2 linked regions of the Ovis aries genome follow. The main gene of each other region encodes a partner of the protein of the gene in region 2 in a complex. Links are inferred from orthologs where the notes say so. Each region holds a gene or a part of one and is shown on either strand. Other genes may lie near its edges.

Region 1 (11,590 bases), on a different chromosome or scaffold from region 2:
CTTCAGCATTACTGGTTGGGGCATAGACTTGGATAACCGTGATATTGGTTTTCCTTGGAGACGAACAGAGATCATTCTGTCATTTTTGAGATTGCATCCAGGTACTGCACTTTGGACTCTTTTGTTGACCATGATGGCTACTCCATTTCTTCTGAGGGATTCCTGCCCACAGTAGTAGATACAATGGTCATCCGAGTTAAATTCACCCATTCCAGTCCATAAATTTGCTGATTCCTGGAATGTCGACGTTCACCCTTGCCATCTCCTGTTTGACCACTTCCAATTTGCCTTGATTCATGGACCTGACATTCCAGGTTCCTATGCAATATTGCTCTTTACAGCATCCGACCTTGCTTCTATCACCAGTCACATCCACAGCTGGGTATTGTTTTTGCTTTGGCTTCATCCCTTCATTCTTTCTGGAGTTATTTCTCCTCTGATCTCCAGTAGCATGTTGGGCACCTACTGACCTGGGGAGCTCCTCTTTCAGTATCCTATCATTTTGCCTTTTCCTACTGTTCATGGGGTTCTCAAGGCAAGAATACTGAAGTGGCTTGCCATTCCTTTCTCCAGTGGACCACGCTGTGTCAGACCTCTCCACCATGACCTGCCTGTCTGGGCCTAGAGGAGCTATCCCACGTTGAAGGTCAGGAACGGTGGCGGTAAGGAGATATCCCTCATCCAAGGTAAGGAGCAGTGGCTGTGCCTTGCTGGAGCAGCCGTGAAGAGATACCCCCACGTCCAAGGTAAGAGAAATCCAAGTAAGATGGTAGGTGTTGCAAGAGGGCATCAGAGGGCAAACACACTGAAACCATACTCACAGAAAACTAGGCAATCTAATCACACTAGGACCACAGCCTTGTCTAATTCAATGACCCTGCTTAGCTTCCAAGATCAGGTGCGTTCAGGGTGGTATGGCCCTAGACAGTTGATGCAGTCTCAAAGAGTTGGACATGACTGAGTGACTGAACTGATCTCAGAAGGTCAAAAATAGCCAAGACACTCTTGAAGAAAAGCAAGGTGAATGAATTTGATCTGTCAGATATGAAGACTTATAAAAGTACTGTAATTAGGAGGGGGAATTAACGGAGGTATTGTAGCCAAAGCAGTTGGGGGGTGACAGTCGGGCAGACGGCGCGCACGGAGAGCATAGCCATGGGTCCAAGTGCATACAGACGGCTGGTCCACGGCGGCAACACCGAAAGACAGCAGAGAGCCGCGCGGAAAAAAGCAAAGCTGCGCCACCACTTAACACCACGCACCGCAGGAATCTCAGATCTGCATCCGAAATGTAAAACGATGACGCTTTGGGAGGTAATATATGGTAATATATTATGTTGTTATTTACTCAGGAGACAAGAAATAGGGAAACATTCTGAGTTTCCTCATATTAACGTGAAGAACGTTGTCCCCCTGTGCTCACCAGTCCTAAACTATTCATAACCTTTTCTCAGTACCTATCAGTTTCCTGCCTTAAAAGACCCTTCTTACAGCAACTGCACCCTGTAACAACCTCCCCCCGACACCCCTTCGACCTTTCCCAGCCCCTGCCCTTCCCGGCTCACGTTTGGTAACTCAGATAACTCAGCTTGGTTGGTCAGCCAGACTCCCTGACGATCTGTCGGGTAGCTGACAATCCACAGTCGTTACCTTTTTGAGCTACATACTGAAATCCTCACAGGTGAGCTGATACAAGCTCTGAGATCTGCTCCAAAATTAAGTTGAAAAAATAAAGAAAGTCAGTAGGGGTGGGTAAGAGTGGCTGTAAATTGTTGAAGCTGAGTAATGGTACCTGGGAGTTTGTCTACTTTTGTATGTCTTTAATTCTCTGTAAGGAGTAAAGTGATCTTTCTTTTTCTGCTCTGTAAAACGGGACGTTCGTCAAAGCCACAGAAAGGTTAGAGTCTATTACACGACTTAGCGACTGAACAAGTCTGGGCCCCAGGTTCATATCCTGAAGCACTCAGCCAAAGGTAGCCTAAGACACTGGCTTCTGCAGGTCTGTGAAAGAAGCAGTCACAGACCTGAAAGAAGAGTTCTCTCCAGTGCCCTCCCGCAACACTCCTAATGCAGAGCTAAGAGTAGGCGCCGTTAAACTTGCCATTTAAACCTTAGCAGTAGCAGTGTTAGCCGCTCAGTCGTGTCTAACTCTTCACAACCCCATGGACTGCAGCCTGCCAGGCTCCTCAGTCTATGGAATTCTCCAGGCAAGAACACTGGAGTGAGTTGCCATTTCCTCCTCCAGAGGATCTTCTTGACCCAGGGATCGAACCCAGATCTCCCACATTGGACGCAGACTCTGTACTGTTTGAGTCACCAGGCAAGCTCATTTAAATCTTAGTTAAACCCCCCAAAACAGAATATTTTTGGTGATTTAGTATTCAGAGAATAAAACTGTGTCATAGTGAGATATATTCTTAGGCCTTGACTATGTTCCCGCCTATGTTCTACTGTGAAAAAATAAAGCTGCTTTTTCTTCCTCACAATCTTCGACCCTGTGAATTCTCTGGGGGACCAGTGCAAAGGCCTCTGTGTTCTCACTGCAGAGGGCCTGGGTTTGATCCCTGGTCAGGAACTAAGATCCAAGCCTGCCAAAAAAAAAAAAAAAAAAAGGAGAATCCTGGACCCTGAAACTGGCCATTATTAGGATCCCGCACACAGAATGATGTCTGATCTGAGGCTTTGAATAGCTATTCATGTAACCTGACTGTTTTCTGTGTGCCCGTAACAAGGACCTAGCTGGGCTTGACGTCCCGGGAAACCCTGGTGCTCTCCCTGGAATCTGTGGGTCCCACGTGGTATTTGTCATGTAGCTTCTGTTGCAAAGTAGGGTCCAAACCAGGCCAGGCCTGAGCCGCGCCTTGCTTGCTTCTCCAGTTCCCATCAGAGGCCAGTCCACCTTATCTGCTGCATTTCAGCGTGAAGTGCTGAGCCGGCTACATGTGGGTGTGGAGGACACTGGCCGGGAGCCGTCTGGAGAGAGTGCCAGCAGCAGGCACAGTGGGGCACGGCTGTTCAGATGTGACGGGGGCAGCTGGTTACAAGCTCCCCCACGACTGGCCCCCGCGGGCCTGCCTGCCCCTCCTTGCCTCAGCCCCGCCCGGCTCTGCCGCTCAGGCCTCGCCTCAGCCTGCCTGCCCTTCTGCACTAGTGACCGCTTGGGACCTGGAGCTGCTGTGATCAGAGCAGCGTAGGACAGCGGGTGTGCCCTAAGCTGCTGCCCACTAAGCTGCTGTTTTTCAGCCGCTAAGTTGTATAACAGAGTGGACCCTTTCTGTGGGCAGCAGGAGGCAGTTCTTTGGGGCAATGGGCTTGTCCTGTATCCCGATTATGGTGGCACTCACTCTATCCAGACATGTCATAATTCATCTTTTACTGTATGTTAATTTTTTAGAAGTCAATATGCCTGCATGCTGATTTTTTTTTTTTTTAAGATAGGAAGATCCTTCCTATGAAGAGCTGCCTGGTCACTTAAGTGTTTGAGGTGCTAAAAAATATGAATGAGTACTACGGTTTTGAGTATTCTCATGAAAGTGATTAACTGGTCAATGCTGCTAAAGTTTAGGGGTTGTAATCTGCCAAATTTGTGCAAGAAGAGGCCACAGCAGCTGTTTAAAAATACAAACACAGAAGACAATGAGATACCACGACCCATGCTGCAGGGGGGATGAGAGACTGGTGCAGCCACTTTGGAAGACCACTTGGTGGCTTTCTGCAAAGCCAAACATACTCTTACCTTGCAATCCGGCAATCACGGCCCTTGATGTTCACCCAAAGGAGCTGAAAACTTACATCCACACGAAAACCTGTGTGTAGACGTTTACAGCAGCTTTACTCATAATTGCCAAAATCTGGAAGCAACCAAAGCAAGCCAAGATGTCCTTTAGGAGGTGAGAGTATAAATAAGCTGGTGTCTCAGACAGTGGAGTATTATTCAGCACCAAAAGGAAATGAGCTGTCAACCCATGAAAAGACATGGAGGAAACTTAGATCTGTGTAAGAGAAAGAAGCCAATGAGAAAAGGCCACACACACACTGTACAACTCCAACCACATGGCACTCCTGAAAAGGTGAGAAGACTCCTGAGAGTCCCCTGGGCTGCAAGGAGATCCAACCAGTCCATTCTGAAGGAGATCAGTCCTGGGTGTTCACTGGAAGGACTGATGCTAAAGCTGAAACTCCAGTACTTTGGCCACCTCATGCGAAGAGTTGACTCATTGGAAAAGACTCTGATGCTGGGAGGGATTGGGGGCAGGAGGAGAAGGGAACGACAGAGGATGAGATGGCTGGATGGCATCACTGACTCGATGGACGTGAGTCTGAGTGAACTCCGGGAGTTGGTGATGGACAGGGAGGCTTGGTGTGCTGCGATTCATGGGGTCGCAGAGTCGGACACGACTGAGCAACTGACCTGAACTGAACAGAAACAGTAAACAGGCGCTGGGGACAGAGGGAAGGACAGGCAGGTGGCGTTAAGGGGATCTTCAGGGCAGGAAAGCTCTGTGAGGTAGCGTCCACACTAGTGGATTCCTGTTATTATACATTTGTCAAAGCCCATAGAATATGTAACACCAAGATGACTAGTAACGGAAAACCCCGGATGTAGTTAACAATAATGTGCGATATTGGTTCATCATTTGTAACAAATGTCCTAAATGAATGCGCCCTGTTGGTGAGCCTGGGTGTGTGTGTGTGTGTGTGTGTGTGTGTGTGAATTCGTACTTTCAGCTCGATTTTTCTGTAAACCTAAAACTGTTCTAAAAAACCAAGTCTGCGGACTACTTTTAGAATGCACATGAAGTTTAACACAAGAGCTGCTGGTTTATAACTCCACTGACTTGATTCGCAGTTTCTGTGCCAGGATTTCAGAGGTGCTGGTTGTAGAAAGGCCGACCGAGGTAGGCTCAGGTAGGCTCAGATCTCCCGCCTGCAGAACCGCACACGAAGGCCCAGGCGCCCCAGGCCCTGGTTTCGCTCGGCCGCAGCCCTCCAGCCCCAAGCTGCCCGCAGCTCCCCGCGCCGTGCCGCGTCCGAAGACTGGGGAAAGGTCACTCGGTCCGCGGCTTCGGTGGCCTCGGCCTGAGTCCCCTCCAGGCCCTCTGGACCGCCTCATCGGGCCTCCGCTGGCGCCTCTAAGCTTCGCACAGGCCGTCCCCCTGCAGGTTCCGCCCGCCGCCCCCACCGGGGTCCCCTGGTCCCCGGGCGCCCGAACCCCGCCGGCCTGCCGAGGGGCGCCACCGCGGCGCTAGGGGCGGGCGGGCTGCCGGGGCGACAGCTGCGGGGGCGGCCCTGACCTTCCCGCGCGATCGATGGGGCGCGGCTCTGGCGGCGCGGAGCCGGGGCGGCGCTGACCCCCGCCCGCCCGCCCGCCCGGCTCCCTCTCCGGGCGCCGCTATAAAGGGGCCCGGGCCTCGCGGCTGCTCAGCCCGTTCCGGAGCGCACCATGGCTACGCTGGCCCTGCTGCTGCTGCTGCCGCCGCTGCTGCTCGGAAGCTGCGCCGCGCGCCCCGCGCCCCCCAGGTGAGCCTGCGGCCCGGGGCCTGCGCCCACTCCCCCAGCCCATCCTGCCCCCGCCCGGCCCTGACCACCCGCGGCCGCCCTCCCGTCCCCTCCGCAGGGCCCCGCGACACTCGGACGGGACGTTCACGAGCGAGCTCAGCCGCCTAAGGGACAGCGCGCGGCTGCAGCGGCTGCTGCAGGGCCTGGTGGGGAAACGCAGGTGAGGGGCGGGGTCTGGGGGGGTAAAAGCAGGTGAGGGGCGGGGCCTAGAGGAGAAACGTAGGTGAGGAGCGGGGGGGGCCTGAGGGAAAGGCGGGCGAGGGGCGGGGCCTGAGGGAAAGGCGGGCGAGGGGCGGGGCCTGAGGGAAAGGCGGGCGAGGGGCGGGGCCTGAGGGAAAGGCGGGCGAGGGGCGGGGCCTGGTGGGGGAAGGCGGGCGAGGGGCGGGGCCTGAGGGAAAGGCGGGCGAGGGGAGGGGCCTGAAGGGAAGGCGGACGAGGGGCGGGGCCTGGTGGAGAGGGCCGGTAAGGGGCTGGCGGGGGACAAGCGACGCGGTGGGGGAGCCCCCCGACTCCAGACTAATCCTGACTTGGGATGGGGGGCAGCGAGCAGGACACAGAGAACAGCACAGCCTGGACCAAGTCTGCGGAGGGCCCGCTATGCCTGCTGTGGTCGGACGCGCCCGCCCTGCAGGCTTGGTGAGCAGCGGCCCTTCCCCATCCCTCCTCCAGCGCCTCCCTCCCTGAGGCACCCTGGGTCTCGGGCACAGCTGGACACAAGCACGGTCCGGGAGCCTGGGAAGGGGAAACTGCCGGCGCCGGTGACCAGAGAGGCCTGCTGTCCCCAGGTGGGCGTGGTCTCCCGCACCAAGACCGCAACCCTTAACCCGGCTGTCTCTGCAGGGCGCCCCTGAGGCCCCCCGAGGGTCAAGCCTGGTCTTCCCAGCTGCCTCTTGCACTGAAGGCAGGGGTCATGATGTCCAAGCCGGCCGTCCCGACTGCTGAGGGGACCCGATGAGGCCCTGAGGAAGAAGGACCCTCCGGAGGGGGGCCTGGACAGAGGAGGGGGTGGGAGGAGGGGGAGGGGTTGCATCTGGCACCAATAAAGGAGGAATTCAGACCCTAGCCCCCTGAACTCTCTTTGTGCACTGCCGTCTGGTACTCTCAAAGCACCTGTGGTGTGCGGCTGTCCAGGGAGGGAGGGCCCTGTCCTCCAGAGTCTAAGATGGTGGCCACACCCAGCTGCCCTTTAAACCTGGGAAGCCAGTGGGGAGCTTCATCTGCCCACTTCCTTATCTGCTGCCCATCCCCTGGGCTCCCTGGGAGCTGGCTGCACCCCTGCCATCCACACAGCAAACATTCAGAGACCGTGGGGGGCTCACATGTCCCCCAGCTCCTTTCCCAGGGAGGCAGCAATGAGGGGGCAAGGCTGTTCTTCAGTCGCTCAGTCATGTCTGACTCTTTGTTATCCCATGGACTGCAGCACACCAGGCTTTCCTGTCCTTCACCATCTCCCAGAGTTTGCTCAAACTCATGTCCACTGAGACAGTGATGCCATCCAACCATCTCATCCTCTGTCATCCCCTTCTCCTCCTGTCTTCACTCTTTCCCAGCACCAGAGTCTTTTCTAGTGAGTCAGTTCTTTGCATCAGGTGGCCAAAGGATTGGAGCTTCAGCTTCAGCATCAGTCCTTCAATGAATATTCAGGGTTGATTTCCTTTAGGATTGACTGGTTTGACCTCCTTGCAGTCCAAGGGACTCTCAAGAGTCTTCAACATCACAGTTCAAAGGCATCAATTCTTTGGCACTCAGCCTTTCTTATTTTCCAGCTCTCAGATCTGTACGTGAAAAACCATAGCTTTGCCTATATGGACCTTTGTAGGTAAAGTGACACCTCTGTTTTTCAATATGCTGTCTAGGTTTGTCATAGCTTTTCTTCCAAGGAGCAAGCGTCTTTTAATTTCATGGCCACAGTCATCGTCCAGAGTGATTTTCAAGCCCAGGAAAATAAAGTCTCTCATTCTTTCCATTGTTTCCCCATCTATTTGCCATGAAGTGATGGGACCAAATAAGCAGGGCAACAATATACAAGCTTGACGTACTCCTTTCCCAATTTTGGACCAGTCCATTGTTCCATGTCTGGTTCTAACTTGCTTTTTGACCCGCATACAGGTTTGACAGGAAGCAGGTAAGGTGGTCTGGTATTCCCATCTCTTTAAGAATTTTTCCATAGTCCATTGTGATCTGCACAGTCAAAGGCTTTAGCGTAGTCAATAAAGCAGAAGTAGATGTTTTTCTGGAATTCTCTTGCTTTTTCTATGATCCAATGGATGTTGGCAATTTGATCTTTGGTTCTTCTGCCTCTTCTAAATCCAGCTTGGACATCTGGAAGTTCTCGGTTCACGTACTCTTGAAGCCTAGCAAGGGGCGAGGACAGGGCAGGGAGGCTCAGCCAAGCAGGAAGAGGTGACAGGCAGGAGACGTCGCCCAGGAGGCCACTCCCCAGTGGAAGGACCTGAGCATGACTCAGGCCCTGTGTCCCGGCCTGCCGTCTGGCAGAGTGCCTTGACTACCCGGGGCCTGTGGGGCAGGGCCGGTGACGACAGCCCAGGAAGTGCCAGGGTTGCAGGAGGGCTTGGAGGACCAGGGGTGCTGGCAGGGCTGCTCCGGGAAGGTGTTTCAGGCCAGGAGGTGGGGAAGACTCCACCCCACGCCCCATCACAGCAGGCCCTTCTCCCCTCCTGGACCCCACCCATTGCTGTCTCCCACCTACTGAACTTAGGTGGCCAAGGAAATGGAGGCAGGATGCTTGGGGGCCTGGGCTAAGGTTCCTCACCAGGATGCCCCTCTGTTGGCACCCAGGGTGCCCCCCCAGAGCTGCCAGCTGCTCCTGGAACACTCCGTCTCTGTCACGGTGGGCTCAGCCAGCCTTGCCTGGAGGAAGCCAGCTTGTTTCTGGGACAGCAGAGGAGTCCCTGAGACACAAATAACACAAATAACCTTTCCCTTCCAGACCTAGAGGGTTGAGTAAGGAGAGGAGGTGGGCCTGGACCTCACAGGGCTGACTCCTGGCACTGCGCCTGTGATCATTCTGGCAGAGGAGCCCAGCAGAGGGGCATTCTTCGTGGGGGTGGGGCGGGAATACGGCGAGCACAGAAGCCAGTCCCCCACCTCCCCAGTCCAAGCCCCGGATCCGCTGCCCCTGCCCCGCTGTGAGCTCCTCTGTCTCGGGGTCAGTGGGGTAAGCCCCGTCAGCCCCTGTACGCGGCCTGGATCTGGTCTCCCCCTCCTTGCGGTCAGAGGGGCCTGGCCGGCGGCAGACGAGGGCCCCCTTGGTGGAGGCCAGGCCTGCAGCCGGCAGTTGTCAAGGACCATAAAGTGGGGCGGCGTCTGGCGGGGCGAAGGTCACCCGGGAGGAGAATGCACCAGGCAGCACCCGGGCGGCTCAACAAGTCCTGGACACCAGACGGGCTCGGACCCTCCGCGGGCCGCCCGCCGCCACCGCCCAGATGGGGACCTGGGTCCTGCTGCTCCCGCTGCTGTTTGCTGCTGAGGCCCAGGCCCAGGGTACAGGTGTGGAGGGGACGGGGCCGGGCAGGGCAGGGGGCTGGGCAGGGCGCGGGCGGGGGCTGGGCGGGGCGAGGGCAGGGGCCTGGGCGGGGCGCGGGGGGCTGGCGGCACCGACCCTTCCTCCCCAACGTCCAGTCTGCTCCGTGGAGAAGACCTTCCTCACAGTCGAGGAGAACACGAACCCCGGGGAGCCCCTCCTGGACATCTACGTCCCCGAGGGCCAGCAGGTGACCCTTGGACCCTCGTCCACCCCTTTTGCGTTTCGGATCCAGGGGAATCAGCTGTTTCTCAACGTGACCCCGGACTATGAGGTGAGGACAGCAGACCCAGGCTGGCTGTGCCCGTGGGGGCAGCAGGGACTCCCGTGGGACCCCCCTGGGCACTGACACTCCTCCCCAGCTCTCTGGGGATCTCTGGGTCTCAGTTTGCCCATGGGGCCTCTTGGGCCCCCTGGCTTGGCTGAGGGCCTGGTCTCGGGGGTGGGCCCCTCAGGGAGTCAAGCTGCCGGGCCCTGACGCCCGCTGGACGCAGGGCGGGGGACACAGACCCCGAGCCAGCACCTGCCGCGCTCGTCTCCTCAGCTGGGCGATGGGGACGGTCAGCGGGGCCAGCCGGTCAGGTGAGTCCCACGCCCACCCCCTCACAGGCGAACACCATGCTGGAGGCTCTCCTGGAGTGCAGGAGCGGTGTCTCCGCGGTGAGTGCGCCCCCAGACCCCTCCCACTCCCCGCCCCCAGCCCACCCCTCCTGGCCTGGACCTCTGTGCTCCGCCCTGCCCGGCCGCGGTCACTCCCTGCTGACCCCGCCCGGTGGCGTGTTCAGGCGTCACCTCTGCCAGCAAGGCCGCACTGCCTCCAGCAGACTGTGCCTGACGCTCCCAACCCCAGCCCAGTGGGTCCCCCAAGCCGACCCGAGAGGCACCCCGCGCGCCAGCTCCGTGCCCCCCTCCCCCGTCCCTCCCCAGCGAATCTGCTGCCTCTGCCCCAGGCCAGGTCCTGCCCGCCCCGGGCGTCCCCCCGGGGCCCGGTCAGCAGCATCTTCCAGCCGGTCCTTGGCTCCCCCCGAGGTCCCGCCCAGCCCAGGGCGCGGCAGGAGAAAGTCTCCAGTAGCGGGAGGCTCTCTCCAGCCGGGTCCCCGCCTCCCGAATGGAGTGAATCCAGGAGAGCGGTGCCCCGCCCCCAGCCCGCTCCCTGCGTAGACGCGGCCTCGCGGAGGCGCCCACCCTCGCGCCCCCTGCCGCGCCAGCTGGCTCTTCGGTTTTCCCTAGTCCCGTAGGTGCCCCCAGCCGACATCACAGGGCACCACAGAGATTTCAGGATGAGCCTCTAAAAGATAAGGCTGCTTCGTAACGGCTCGCTCCCATGGTGATGCCGTCACACCAGGGAAGGCAGGGACCCCTCAGCAGTGCGACACCCCGCGTCCCCACTCCCCCGGGGCCAGAGGCGTCTGTGACAGTTTCTTGCCTGAATCGGGTCCCCAGCAAGGTCCACCTGGAGCAGCTGGCTGAGGGTCTCCTGATTCCCCCGTTTTATGTTTGAAGAAATTGGATCGTCTTGCCATTTTCCTCACCGTGGGGCTCTGCTGGTCGCACCTCCAGGTCACCCGCACCTCTCTGTGCTTTTTAGTGTTAATCTTTATTTATTCACCTGCACTAGGCCTTAGTTGTGGCACACGGGGTCCTGAGCTGCCGCGTGTGGGATCTGTTAATAGTTCCCTCAAAGACAAGAAAGTGAAAGTCGGACCTCTGTGACCCCATGGACTGTATTCTCCAGGCCAGAGTACTGGAGCCTTTCCCATCTCCAGGGGATCTTCCAACCCAGGGATCGAACCCAGGTCTCCTGCATTGCGAACGGATTCTTTACCAGCTGAGCCACCAGGGACTGGGGATCAAACCCGGGCCCCCTGCGTTGGAAGCTCAGAGTCTCAGCCACCGGACCACCGGGAGTCCTGCACATCTGTGCTTTTAAAATCACTTTCTGTTCCCTCTCTGTAATGCCTGGAGCAGGAGCCCCAGGCGGAGAGCAGTCTGGGGTGCACCCCAGCATCCGGAATGAGCTCACCTGGCCTGGCCGGGGACTTTCTCCCTCCCCCAGGTGACTCAGCTGAGGGTGTTTGTGTCCGTGCTGGATGTCAACGACAACCCGCCCAGGTTCCCCTATGAGACCAAGCTCTGGGAAGTGCCTGAGGTGAGCTAGAGGGGGCAGCGGCCGGTACCATCTGGGGCATTTGAAGACCGGGGTCTAAGCCTGGGGGTCAGGGTCACGGCCAGACCAGCCCCTCCGCCCCCCAGGACACTCGGGTGAACACCACCGTCGTCTCAGAGACAGAACTGGAGGCCCAGGACCAGGACCAAGACGATGTCCTTTTCTACACCCTCCAAGAGGTCACCCTGGTCAGCGCTCCCAGCTCCGTGCTCTGGGCACGCCCCCCCCCCCCCCCCGCCGTGCGTCCTCTGGGCTGAGTCTCCTACCTCCCCAGGGTGCCAGCAGTTTCTTCTCCTTGGTGGGTGCGAACCGCCCAGCGC
Region 2 (12,665 bases):
TTTCCACATGAGCTGTACCATTTTACCTTCCTGCCAACAACGCACAGAGTTCTAGTTTCTCTATATCCTCATCCTCAATCCTTATTCTTCTGTTTTAATAATATCTATTGTGCTGTGCTAAGTCATTTTAGTCATGTCTGACTCTCTGTGACCCTATGGACTGTAGCCTGCCAAGCTCCTCAGTCCATGGGATTTTCCAGGCAAGAATACTGGAGTGGGTTACCTTTTCCTCCTCCGGGGGATCTTACCATCCCGGGGATCAAGCCTGCGTCTTCTCCGCCTCCTGCATTGGCAGGCAGGTTCTTTACCAGTAGCGTAACCTGGCAAGCGCCAATATCTATCTTAGTGGGTGTGAAGTAGATCATTCCACAGTTCGTTTACCCTTAATCCTTTCATTAAAACTGAATAAAGCAAGATTGTTTTGTGTGGTGGCATGCCAATTGCAGAAAGGTGTGCATCCACTGTTTGTATGACAGCAACAGTATTCTTTTGAAAGGGCTGAGTCTGTGGATGAGTCTTCAGCCTGCAGACAGCGGCCTCAGTGACAGAGTGGGGCCATCAGCGTAGCTGGGAGTGGCTGGGAAGATTGTGTTCATGGAGCAACAGTTTGTTAGATGCCTCAGAGGGAGAATGAAGGGGAAAAAAGCTCCCGTATCATCTAGGTTTTCCTAGAGGAAAGAAGAGGCTGATATTTAGAGCTCAAATGTATGTACGCTTGTGCATGTTTCTATATAATCAATAAATTTCAAAATATTGGGAATTTCCTGGCAATCCAGTGCTTAGGACTCTGTGTTTTCACTGCCGAGGGCATGGGCAGGTTCAATCCCTAGTCAGAGATTGAACAAGCTGGACAGCACAGCCAAAAAAATATTTTTAAGACAAAAACAGACTATGCTGTATAGCGCACCCCTTTAAAATTTTCCTCTAAATTCACAGGAGAAACAAGTGATGGTGAAAGTATTGCTAAAAGTTATATAAAATACTCCTCAAAGCAAGAGCTATTAGTCTTGAAAAGGTCCCTTTTAATAGTTTTTAAAAATCAAGTTTGGATAGGCACTTTTTTTTCTTTTACTTGTCCTAGTACTAAAGTGCTTATAGCAAAAAACAGCAGTTCCCTTGCCTAACCTTTTCCTGCTCTCCAGAGAAAACCACTTTACTTTTCTTTAGATGTATATTTTCATTTTATCTCTGTATTTCAGAATTATCTCATATTGTTATTTCTTGGTTTATCAGTTTGAGACATTATCCAAAACTCTATTATGGAAGAGAAAGATTTAGATGTTTTTAAACCTCCCTACATATACTTCCCTCCCCCCATATAATATATTGAGATAGCCTTCTCTTAATTGTTAGTTAAATGAATGGTCTGTATTTATAATGACTTACTTTGACTATGAAATATTGTTCACTGCTGAGTCTAGCCATGTAAAACGATTATGTCTCTTCTTGTACATTTTGTTTTTCCTGTGGTCAACAATTGACTTTGCGTTTTCATTTGATTAGTTTATCTAGGTAGATAGGATTAATTTATCCAATGCTCCAACAGCCTTGATAGACATTTATCAAGAGGTCTATTCTTTCAGTCCCTGGAGCCCTCTCTCCCACAGACCTCTGCCAATGGGGCCTGGCACCTGGCTGTTCTTTTAGGGGGCCTCTCCCCGGCTCCCCCAGGCACAGTTCCATTTCCTATATTCTCTGTCTTTTTCTTGGCTTTGCTTCCTTGTTCTTCAGAAGCACATTCTACAGTAACTTCCTGAGAAAGCACAAATAAGGAGGTCAACTTTTGAATCTTTTCAGGAGTGAAAAAGCTTTTATTCACCTGCTGCTGCTGCTAAGTTGCTTCAGTCGTGGCCAACTTTGTGCAACCCTGTAGACAGCAGCCCACCAGGCTCCCCCATCCCTGGGATTCTCCAGGCAAGAACACTGGGCTGGGTTACCATTTCCTTCCCCAATGCATGAAAGTGAAAAGTGAAAGTGAAGTCGCTCAGTCATGTCCAACTCTTAGCGACCCCATGGACTGCAGCCTACCAGACTCCTCCATCCACAGGATTTTCCAGGCAAGAGTACTGGAGTGGGTTGCCATTACCTTCTCCAATGAAAAGCTACTGAATTCCAAAGGATGGGAAGAAACTCAACACACTTTGCTCGTCAACTGACAACCTGAGACTGGAAAGGAATAGTTTCACAGGGGAAAAAAGAGAGATATTAGTCTAGTTTATACAGTGACAAATAAAGAGGGAACTCGATCCTACAACCAGTTCCAAACCCAAAATGTCATCTAACACTTACTGGGTCCCTAGGATGCTCTGCAATCGAAGGTGAGCAGACACAGATCTTATTGCCGTAGCTCACAGGCTCCAAGGGGTCCAGAGGCACCTGTGGCGGGAGCATGCGGGAAGGTAGTGGGCAGGCAACCATGGACCACAAGCAGTGGCAGGAAACCCCTGGGAGGCACTGCACCGCGTAGGCGAGAAGTCACCCCCATAGCGGAGGGCATGTGCACAGATGTGACAGGGGCCAGCAGGGGCTGAGGGCCAGCTGAGGACAGGGGCCAGCATCGTTCCTATGTGTCTGCTTTGGGTACCTCAGTAACTCCAACAACAGGGAAAACAAGGACAAGAGATATGAGTTCGGCAGCAGCTGAAGTGAGATAAGCATGGTTAAGGTTGGATTTACATCACCTTAAGATGGGCAAGGAAACACATAGTAAGAGAGAGCAGCAAGCATAAGGAGAGCAAGGGCCAGAGACAGTGCCTGAGACAGTGACCCTCACAGGCTGGGAAGATGAGCAAAAGGAGGGACCATGCAGGAGGAGGGATCACACAAGAGGAAGGAACCGTGTGACACGGGGAAACCTCGAAAGAGGGAAAACCTCATTTGAGGCACAGTGGGAACCACAAGCCTGTGAAAGGCAGGCACCAAGGTGAGGAAGAGGGGGAGGGACAGAGTGTCCCAGCACCAAATGTCTCTAAGAGGCTGGAGTCCCATGGGTGCCCTGCCCATCTTGCCCAGAACAGTCAGGGAGTGTGCTCGCTGCCTTGATGTCATTAGTCATAGTGTCCAAACTCTCATCAACCATGTGTTCCCCTTGGGTGGGACACAGACCACGCCCTGTCTAGGGAAAGTGGGATAATGCAGGGCCTGGTGAGACTGATGCGAGTAGGGAACGGGTGAGAGCCAGGGTGCTGCAGGCTGAGGAACGGACAGGTGGAGGCAGGGATCATAGATGCATCTTCCAAAATGCTGGCCATGAGCGGTAGCGGAGGAACCATGGCCAGAGCTGTAAAGTTCCTTTGCCACTTGGCTGGATGGGCTTGGGCAGGTTGACTAGCTGATGGAAAATCCAGTCAAGAGGAGCAGGATGAAGGCTACCTCTGTGTCATCTCAGGACGAAAGTCACTGAGCATGGTGTGGGGAAGAGGTCAGGAGCATGGGGCTGGAGCAAAGCCTCTATTCCATTCAGGTGTGATGCAGGCTGAATGTCTGTGTCCCTCAAAGAATGTATTGACTCCCTAACCCCAGGTGCGGCTCTGCTAGGAGACAGGGCCCAGAGGAGTTCATTAAGGTCAAATAAGGTCATAGGGGGCCCAAATCTGATAGGATTAACATCCTTACAAGAGATATCAGTGAACTCACTCTCTCAGAAGTCAGAGGAAAGGTTACATGAGGACCAGGCAGCCAACTACAAGCCAGGGAGGGAGGTCTTCCCAGAATCCAACCATGATCTGGGATATCCAGCCTCCAGGCCTACGAGAAGATAAATTTCCACTGTTCAAGCCCCTCAGTCTGTGCTGCTCTGGCACGGCATGACATTGGGTGCAGGAGGACAGGAACAGGAGGGTCCAACTTAGATTCATCTGTGAGGGCAAGATGCTGCTCAGAGGAAGTTCAGTCTCTGACTCTCAGGATATGGGAGGTACACCCATCTATTGAAAATGAAAGGAGGTAGTAAGGTCAGAAATCTCTGAAGACACCAAGGGGAGCCTTGGGGAGCCGAGAGAGAGGGAAGTGATGTGGGGCATGCAGTGATTCTGGAGAAGTCTGGAAAACTCAGGAATCCTGGCAGCACAACCACCAGATGACCCATCAGGGAGGTCCCTTCCCCAGATGCTCCTTGGACTCTTTCAGACATGGAATATTGAAGCTGGGTGGGCCCCAAGAGATTCCTGCTTTCTCATATCCTCATGAATACTTATATACTCTGTATGTAAGCAAGTAGATAGAATCTGAGTGTTGTGGGTCTTATCTGGGGCTGCAGGTTTTTCCAGAGCCTGAGCAAAGGTCAGTGGTGACCTCAGCTGGCTAAGGACAGGGATGCAGGGGCCAAACCAGAGGCCACTCTGGGGGCAGAGCTCTAATCCTGGTTGTGGAATCTGGGCTTTCAACAAGAGGTGCCAGGAAGAGACCTGTGCCCTCCAGTGTCAAGGGAGGGGATTTGGGGGATGGGACAGGAGGGGAGCTCTGTAGCAACTCGTAAAGGGGGTGCCAAAGTCTAAAGGACTCCCCTAAACAGTGTGAGAAGCATCTCTCCTGTTTTTTTGAATTTGTGGCCCCAAACTCATGTCTGGCAACCCTCAGTAAAATGCTGTGTGTAATTCTGTATTTGATTTGCCTTTTATAAAGTGATTAGATTAAACTGTAGTTATTGTCATTTTGTGGTTTGAGAAAGATTTCATGACAGTGCCTTGGAAGCCAAAAACCAGCGGCCTCTCTTTGGAAGCAGATGCACGTGCTGGCTAAGCACAGCTGGCTTTGAGTCCTTACACCATCATGTCAGCTGGGTGACTTGACCATTGGTTTCACCTGTTTCTACATCTCAGTTTCTTCACATGCACAGTGAGGATGATGACTCTTGGTGAGAGAAGTCAAGTAGTGCCAGGCACAGCTTAGCAGAGTATCTGGTGTGAAGTAGGCACTGAGGGAAGCCTTCACCATCATCATCATCATGGTCATCAGTCACATGACTTTTAGGAAGAACAAAAACTCAAAAAGAAATCCACAATACTACCTCGGAATATTGTTCAGGGATACAAAGCTCCCAGTGACTTTTCTCTAAGAGGCATCAGTAGTCAGATCCTCTGGTGACCTTGCAGGCCTTCTTAAAATTCTGCTAACCCAGCTTGTCAACCTCTGGGTCCAGAGGCAGTCCAGAAAGGGGTGGGGACCACCACATGCCAGACCCCACCTTAGAGTTTTTGTGTTTCTGAGCCATCAACCGAGAAGAAATGAAGAGGGACACGGGGGAGTGGGAAGGGAGGGTGGAGAAGCCAAAGGAACCCATGCCCTATAGAGGTCTTCTCATCCGGAGATGGGTTTTCACTGGCACACCTGCTTCTGTCTCCAGCTCAGATCCCCTGTCACCAACCCCACTACCCTGAACCCAACATCCAGTGACACCTATCGCGAATCTTGGTCACACATTTCCCCTGAGACATAATAACTTTTAAGGCAGGAGTTCTCAACCAGGGCAGTTTTGCCCTGCCTGCTCCCAGAGGACAGTTGGCAATGTCTGGAGACAATTTCTGTTGGCACAACTCGGAGAGAAGATACTAGCTTCTGGTAGGCAGAGTACAGGGACGCTGCTGGACAGCACACAATGTACAGGGCACCCGCACCCCCTGCTCCCCTCTCTCTAACCACTATCTCCACCCTCTCATTCCCTCCCATGCCAGGGGAGGGCATAGCTCTTGTCCCAGCATCCCATGTGGAAAGCTCAGATTTAATATCCAGAATTACAGTGTCAAAGTTAAGAAACCCTGCTTGAAGGAAAAAGTAGCCCCTTGTACCCCACTTAACACACTCAGGTTCTCAGGTGGGCAGTTGGCAAGATGCCCTGGATTTAAAAGCCCTCCCCTGAGAGACTGCACCTTTGCCTGGCAGATTTATGTGCAATTTTGTAAGCAATGATTGCTTGTAAGATGTCATTCTTCACTACCTGTTGTTACATGAAAGTGCCCCACATGAGGGCAGCCACTATGGATAGCACCATCACTTCATTCATTCATTCAGCCCACACACAGTCATTGACTCTTTCTTCTGATATGACAGGTTCTAAGGATAAAGGATGAGTGCGACTGAGTCTCAAGGTTCAAGCTCTAAGTGAACGTATTGGGGAGGACGGGAAGGACAGGTGTGCTGGTAAATAATGACAATACTGTTCTAGGTAAAAATTCTCATGAGAGACATGGATGAGGACAGTAAGGGGAGGTGAAGCCAGAGTTTCTTATGGGAGTCTCAAAAAACTGCCCCACCAGCCACCAGCACTTTTCAGTCCACTTGCAAGGGACCCTCCCTACATCTCTGTGTGAAAAGGTGGGGAGTTGGGGGGAGTACTAATAAGCAATTTGGCCTTAGTGATCCCCCACCACCACCAATTGGGAAGATGCCTATGATTTCCCCCAAGACGAAGCATGAAATGATAAGGAATTGTTTGAATGTCCTTCAGTTTCAAAATTAAATGTCTGACCACTCAAACAGGAAAAAAGCAGGGTTCCATAGGCTGGGAAATCCTCCAACCAAAGCCGGGCAATTCCACCCCTATTTGTTGACAGAGTTCTCTGCCAAGAAGTGTGAACCTCAGATCTGGATAAGCCCATAAAGCCACCAGAGAGCCAAGACTTACACACAGGAAACCACCTGGCAGGAACATAAAGTGGTGCGTGAGTAGAGGAAGATGTGAGCAAAGACAAGCGACAACCCAGACACAGCCCTGGGCTGTTGAGAAAGGCGAGATCTGGGCTCCAGTCCCAGAGCTGCCACAAACTTACTGATAAGGAGCAGGTCCCTGCTCTCTGTGGGTATCAGTTTGCTCCCCTGTAAAAAGAGGAAAGTGGACCAAGGCATAATAAAGCATCCTTCCAAGGCACACGGAAGACCTAAACCAAGGGATCTCATTTTCCCCTGGGCTTATTCCTAAAATGACGCTGGAGATTAAAATGTACATTGAACCTTAGTCCTGAAGACCCAGCCACTTGTTGATTTCTTCTGACAACCGCAGTGTTACTGCAGATACTTAAAAAGGAGGCTGGCAGTGGGCGGGAGGTGGGGTGAGGTCACCAAAAGGGCTGCCTCCCAGCTCTGGGCACCAAATAACACACTCAGAGGCTGAATTTGGCTTTGAACTGTCCCCATGTCTCAGATGGCGTTTCCCCAAAGTGGGAGCTCAGACTTGCAAGCAGGTGCTGTTGTCCTAGCACCTTCCAACTGCAGCGCTGAGGACAGGAGGCTCCAAGTTATTAACACAAGGGAGCTGCATAGGAGAGCCGAAAACCCCGCTCTGGACACCACAGGAGCCGTGCCTCCTGCGTGTCAACACTCCCACCAGCTCCAGAAGCAGGTCTTTCTTATAGCCAACCAGGAGAGGACCACAGGAGGGCCACTGATGTGTTTGCAGGAAGGGTTTGCCCAGGACAGAGATTTCAGGCTCGGAATTGAGTTCCTAAGTGCTTTCCCTGGGGAGTTTCTTGGGACTGAGGCGGTGGGGGGCCTGTTTGGAATGCTGGTGGAAAGGGGAAGTTCTGGAATCTGTGCGCCCCTTCCTCACCGCTCCTTCTTCCCCACTGGCCGCAGCCACCCTCTTTCACAAACCCCACAGGCAGAGGCCAGGACTCCTGGAGTTTGTGAGAAAGCAACATAAGCCACTCACTCTGCTGCCTTCCCTTTTCTCTGCCAGTTCCTCCCTGGACCTGGTTTAGGGAGACCAGCTGCTCCCAGAAGTCCCCAGACCCATCGACACTGCGGAGCCAAACCCACAAGACCAAGGAGGAAGCGGCAAACGCTGGCGTTACAGCTCCGGCAGTTACGGCCAAGCTTTCAAGTCTCCCCGTCCGCAGCCGCTGTCCGTGCAAAATGGCAAGGCTCTGGGGCAGGCAGACTGGGTTCCAGCTGTCTTTTCTCGGGGCAAGTTTTTTTTTTTTTTGGTCTTTCCAAGTCTCGCTTTCCTTGTCCGCAAAGTGAGGGTGAAAATAGCAACTTCGAAAGTCGATGATGAGGTTTCAAGGAAATACTGCAGGCAAAGTGCCCGCACACAAAAGGCACGGCCGGGGCGGCTTCCGAATTTCCGCCCAGGAGCGCCCGGGTGGGGTGAAGGGCAAGGTAAGTTATCTCAGCGCCGCCTGCGCCCGGGCACATACAGATTTTATTTCGGAGGAGAGGACCCCCCTGAGAGGAGCAGACAAAAATCATAGTTGCGGGGAAAGGATGGGGAGAAACGCCTCCCGCCGCCCAGCAGGAGATCTGGTGGGGCCCCTCCACCCCTCACCCCTAGAGGGACCCGCGGAAGGGCGCGTACTCACCGCGCGCACGGCGCAGGCTAGCAGCAGCAGCCCTGGCAGTGGCGGCAGGCGGGGGCGCATGGTGCCGCGTGCGCTCCCCTGGCGCCCCGACGGCCGCCTGCCCGCGCGCGCCGCCGCTCAGCACTCAGCGCTCCCTGCCGCCTCTCGGACCCCGGCTGGCCGCCGCGCCCATGGGAGCCATGGCCCCACCCGCGGCGGGCCCGGGACTGCGCCTCCCCTGACCGGGTGGCCCCGCACCACGCCGCCCTGCCGGTTGATAAGGACGCGGCGCGGCGTGGCGTGCGCTCCTCCACCCACCCCTGCTGGCTGGCCGGCTGGCGGGGGCCAGCGCGAAGGCGCGCTGCGGAGGAGGTGGAGGGAGGACGCGAGGCCTAAAGCGGCTCCCGCAGGCTGTGGTCGGCAGGCCCCGCTGCCACACCCCCACGGACTAAAAGAGCCCTCCCCAAGGTCCGAGTCAGCGCCGCCACCGCTGCGCTGCGTGAGGATGGGCAGGAGGCCACCTTTTGGAGCCTCAGCGTTCTCATCCGAACAGTACCTCTAATAATACCCGCCTTCTGGGTGAAAAGTTTGAACTAGCGCCCTGTGACACAGCCGGTGCTCGTTAAATCCCTATGGCACTATTCCGGGGGCAGCTACTCCATTTCCGATTTTCACTTTTTTTTCTTTCTTATTAGATATTTACGCTCCTTCCAGAAAGTTGCACACATATGAGCTCCATCACACTGAGAAGCCTTTGATGATCAGGTGAGACCAAGGAGGACCATCGGTGCACCCCAGCGTTTGGGGCTGTGCTGGAGCGTTTGTGCTTTCTGGTTTCCCCGGGAGCTATTTCAGTATTAGGCAGGTGTGCCCAGCAGCTGCTCATCCTGAGTCTGAGGGCTTAGATCTCCTTGTTGTTTAGTCACTCAGTCGTGTACAACTTCTTGCGAAGCCATGGACTGTAGCCCACCAGGCTCCTCAGTTCATGGGATTCTCCAGGCAAGAATACTGGCGAGGGTTGCCATTTCCTTCTTCATCGGATCTCCTGAAGGTTGGCTTTGGCCTCTCAGTACAGTACAAGGCACCTTCCGAGGGTTTTTGTAGACCCTTTTTTTTTTTTTTCCTGCTCTGATGCACATCCCCTTTCCTTTTGTGTCTCCTTCTATCTAGATCTTTTTCTCAGGCACTTGAAGGCCATCAGCTCATTGACTTCTCTCCCTCACCCTCTTCCCCACACATGGAAGGGAGGTGAGCTCTACCTGGCTTAAGGACTGGCATGAGATTCTGGGCACGTGTACATGCACATGCACACACTCTCGCACACGCGCGCGCGCGCACACACACACACACACACACACACACACCCTTTCCTTTCATAGCGTCCCCACCAGCAGAGAGCCAGTAACTGGATTGCCCTGGCCCAGGCTGTTCTTGAAAGTCAAGGTTCTGACTGATTGATCAAGTGTGGCCAGTGGCAGGTGGTGGTTTCTCCCCTCTGGTCCACAAGTATAAACCACATTCTTTGAGACCATTATCACCAACAAAAGTGATATTGGGTCCCATTGTCTTCCTCATATTTCTCAATTGATTCAAGATTCAGGCTGGAGAAATGTTATGAACTAGTTTCTCTGATATCATAAATGTGCATTAGAAAAAGTGCATGCGGTAAGGATATGCCATTTTTACTTATAGACTTTCATGTTGATGAATAGTTTCTGTAATGACTGGATGTATTGATTTTTTGATGGAAAGACAAAAAAAGAAAATAATGCAAAATGCAATCTGTGCTCTATACCAGAGCCTCGTGATCACCAGTGAAAAAGCAAAATGACATTTGTTCTGGGCAATTCAATCAATTTCTGGCCTGTGGAAAGCCATTGTTCCTTAAATAGGAGGCTCTGTCTCTCAGAATATCGAGGAAAGGATCTGAAATGCTCTGTGGGAAGCCATGGATGCCGTCAGTGGCTTTGTAGAACCTGCCTGAGAACACAGTTTCAGAATAGGGTGGAAGGGAGCATGTGGGGAACTAATCATGTATTTAATACCCACCATGTGCTGGGGAGTTTTTTAATAATTGGGTGTATCATCATAGACAATCCTCCAAGACTGTCTGAGAGACACTGACTTTCCTTGATGAATCAGATGGGAACTTGAGGCTTGGGAAAGGTAACCATTTGCCTCAACAATGCAGCCAACAAGGGGCAGGGCCTGGATTGAACACAGGACTGAGTCCGAAGCCCGGGCCCACGTCCTTTGCATGGCACTAGAACTTCTCTCAATCCTGAAGATGACTTTATTACTCTCAGTCTTTCCAAAGCTCTTTTACATGCAGTATTTCATTTGATCCTTGAAACAGCTCTGTGGGGTCTGTAGGACCAGCGATCAGGGGCTGCAGGAGAGGGAGACTCCATTGCTCACATGGTATCATTGAAAGTTTAATGAGAAGATGCCATGCAGAGGTGTGGGTGAGGCTCAGGGAACCAGCAGGGGACATGCAGGTGCCCGGGTCAGCAGCGATAGGCCTGGTCAGACTCCTCTGCGCCTCTTCTGCTTTGACCTTGGCCCCACCTGTCTTTGGCCTGCCTCAGCAAGACTCCTGCCATGGGTTAGTGAGAATCTTCCCCCTTAATATCTCGTCAAGTTCCTTGTCTCTCCCACCTTTGATGGATAATCCTGTCCTGCCTTTAGCAAGAAGGGTGTTAAGTCAGTTTAGCAGAAATCTCCCTGTCTTGATGTCTCCTCTTAGTAATCGTCCATCCATGGCTGCCCTCACCCTGCTCCATAGCTACAAATCCCCTTTGTTTCTTGTTATATTCTGAGTTGAGCCCTGGTTCTCTCCTCTGTTGCAACACCCCTGTTGTAACAGTCTTGAATGAAGGCTTCTTTACCATTTTAATAAATGTCGGGATAATTTTCCTTTAACAAGGAGCAAAGAGAGAAAGCAGTGTCTCCCCAAGCAGGCAAGAGCTATCCTTGGGAGTGGAGCCACCCATAGGATCTTAACCAGAGGGGGATGCAGCCTCTGTCAAAACCACAGTCTGGGACTTCCCTGGTGGTCCAGTGGTTAAGACTCTGTGTTTCTGCTGCAGGGGGTGCAGGTTCCATCCCTGGTTTAGGAACCAAGATCCCACATGCTTCATAGTACAACCAAAACAAACAAATGGAAAAACTGTCAGGTGTCGAGATAAATACCCTGACCTCTCTTCTGCCCTCTGAATCTCCTGGCTATGTCTTCCGTTGGCTGAACCCAACCCAAAGCCAGAGACAAGACAGACAGATTGGGGAGAAACTGTCCATAGCATTTCTCTATGTCCATAGAGTTTAACCTCCCTCCTGGGTGGAGAAGGCAGAAAAGAGATTTGAGAGGGATGAGGCAAAAGGAGAATAACCCCACTAGGATATATCAGTCTAGCCATTTAACAGATGAAGAAACCTGAACAGATGAAGATGGGTGGGGCCTGAACTGCAGATCACACAGGATTGTTTGCTCTGAAACTCTGGTTTTTTGATTCCCAGCCTGAGTTCTCCACCACGCTTATGTCTGTTACACCTGAAACTAGTGCTGGAAAATCAGAGCAGTGATTTATCGTCACTTCACAGTCCTGGGGGTTGGCTGGGCTCGGCCAGCAGTTCCCTGGTTTAGCACATCTCACGCGGTGGCAGTCAGAGTCCCCTGGAGACGTGCTCTCTTGGATGACTGGGGCTGGGCTTGCTCCACGTGGTCCTAGCTCCAGGCAGCTTCAGGGTGTCTGGGCTTCTTAAACCGTGATCCCAAAGGTGCTTGTCCTGAGAGAGAGCAGGTCGAAGGTGCACCGTGATTTATGACCCAGCCTCATCTGCTTCTACTGTGTTTTGTTGTCCAAATAATCATAAAAGCCAGTCCTGGTTCTAGGAGAGGCAACATAGACTCTGCCTCTTGATGGAAAGTAGGAAGATCCTGGAGGAGCACGTGAGACCCCTAGTACTAGTAGTACTAGTACTAATACCAGTGCTGTTAGTGGGGCTGTGGGGAAATACTTTATGTCCACCCTCTAAATCCATTATAACTCCCAGGAGCAACAGAGAGGGATGTCTCTTTGATTCTGATGCTTTTCCAGGTCTGGAGCCTCATTCCTTTCTCCAAATTACACTGGAGAGGTAGGTGTAGTGGGGCATAGGAAACTAAGTCATGACCATCCCCAAACACTCCAAGTCACGTTCTCACAACAGTAACTTAAAAGTTACCGTGAAACTTTAATTCAAAAAGATAATGCACCCTAATGCTCACAGCAACACTATTCACAATAGCTAAGACTTGACAGCATCCTAAAATGTCCATCCACAAAGGATTGGATAAAGAAGATATGGTACATATACACAATGGAATATTACTCAACCATAAAAAGAATGAAA

What was found.
Region 1: the proteins of SCTR (region 2) and SCT are in contact, whole or in part, in a cryo-EM structure (PDB 6WZG), measured with the Homo sapiens proteins. The link is inferred for Ovis aries from reciprocal best matches to the Homo sapiens genes SCTR and SCT. Residues at the interface, in NP_002971.2 of Homo sapiens: Arg30, Leu31, Cys32, Leu35, Asp71, Asn72, Pro117, Val125, Val127, Asn128, Asp129, Asn132, Arg135, His136, Leu139, Leu140, Leu142, Lys143, Tyr146, Tyr150, Arg188, Asn192, Lys195, Leu199, Phe200, Ser202, Asp203, Val205, Met219, Phe222; in NP_068739.1 of Homo sapiens: His28, Ser29, Asp30, Gly31, Thr32, Phe33, Thr34, Ser35, Glu36, Leu37, Ser38, Arg39, Leu40, Arg41, Glu42, Arg45, Leu46, Gln47, Arg48, Leu49, Leu50, Leu53, Val54.

What each region holds. Positions count from the first base shown.
Region 1 is NC_056074.1:47,058,129-47,069,718, forward strand, and holds SCT (secretin), read left to right. Parts: upstream 1-5,423; 5' UTR 5,424-5,443; coding exon 5,444-5,520; intron 5,521-5,617; coding exon 5,618-5,719; intron 5,720-5,993; exon of another isoform or gene 5,994-6,102; coding exon 6,103-6,195; exon of another isoform or gene 6,196-6,399; coding exon 6,400-6,514; 3' UTR 6,515-6,621; downstream 6,622-11,590. Other genes in the region: CDHR5 (cadherin-related family member 5), read left to right, coding at 9,006-9,069, 9,202-9,377, 9,713-9,763, 11,160-11,252, 11,357-11,458, 11,545-11,590. UniProt on the Homo sapiens protein: Hormone involved in different processes, such as regulation of the pH of the duodenal content, food intake and water homeostasis.
Region 2 is NC_056055.1:184,858,095-184,870,759, forward strand, and holds the start of SCTR (secretin receptor), read right to left. Parts: upstream 8,553-12,665; 5' UTR 8,355-8,552; coding exon 8,295-8,354; intron 1-8,294.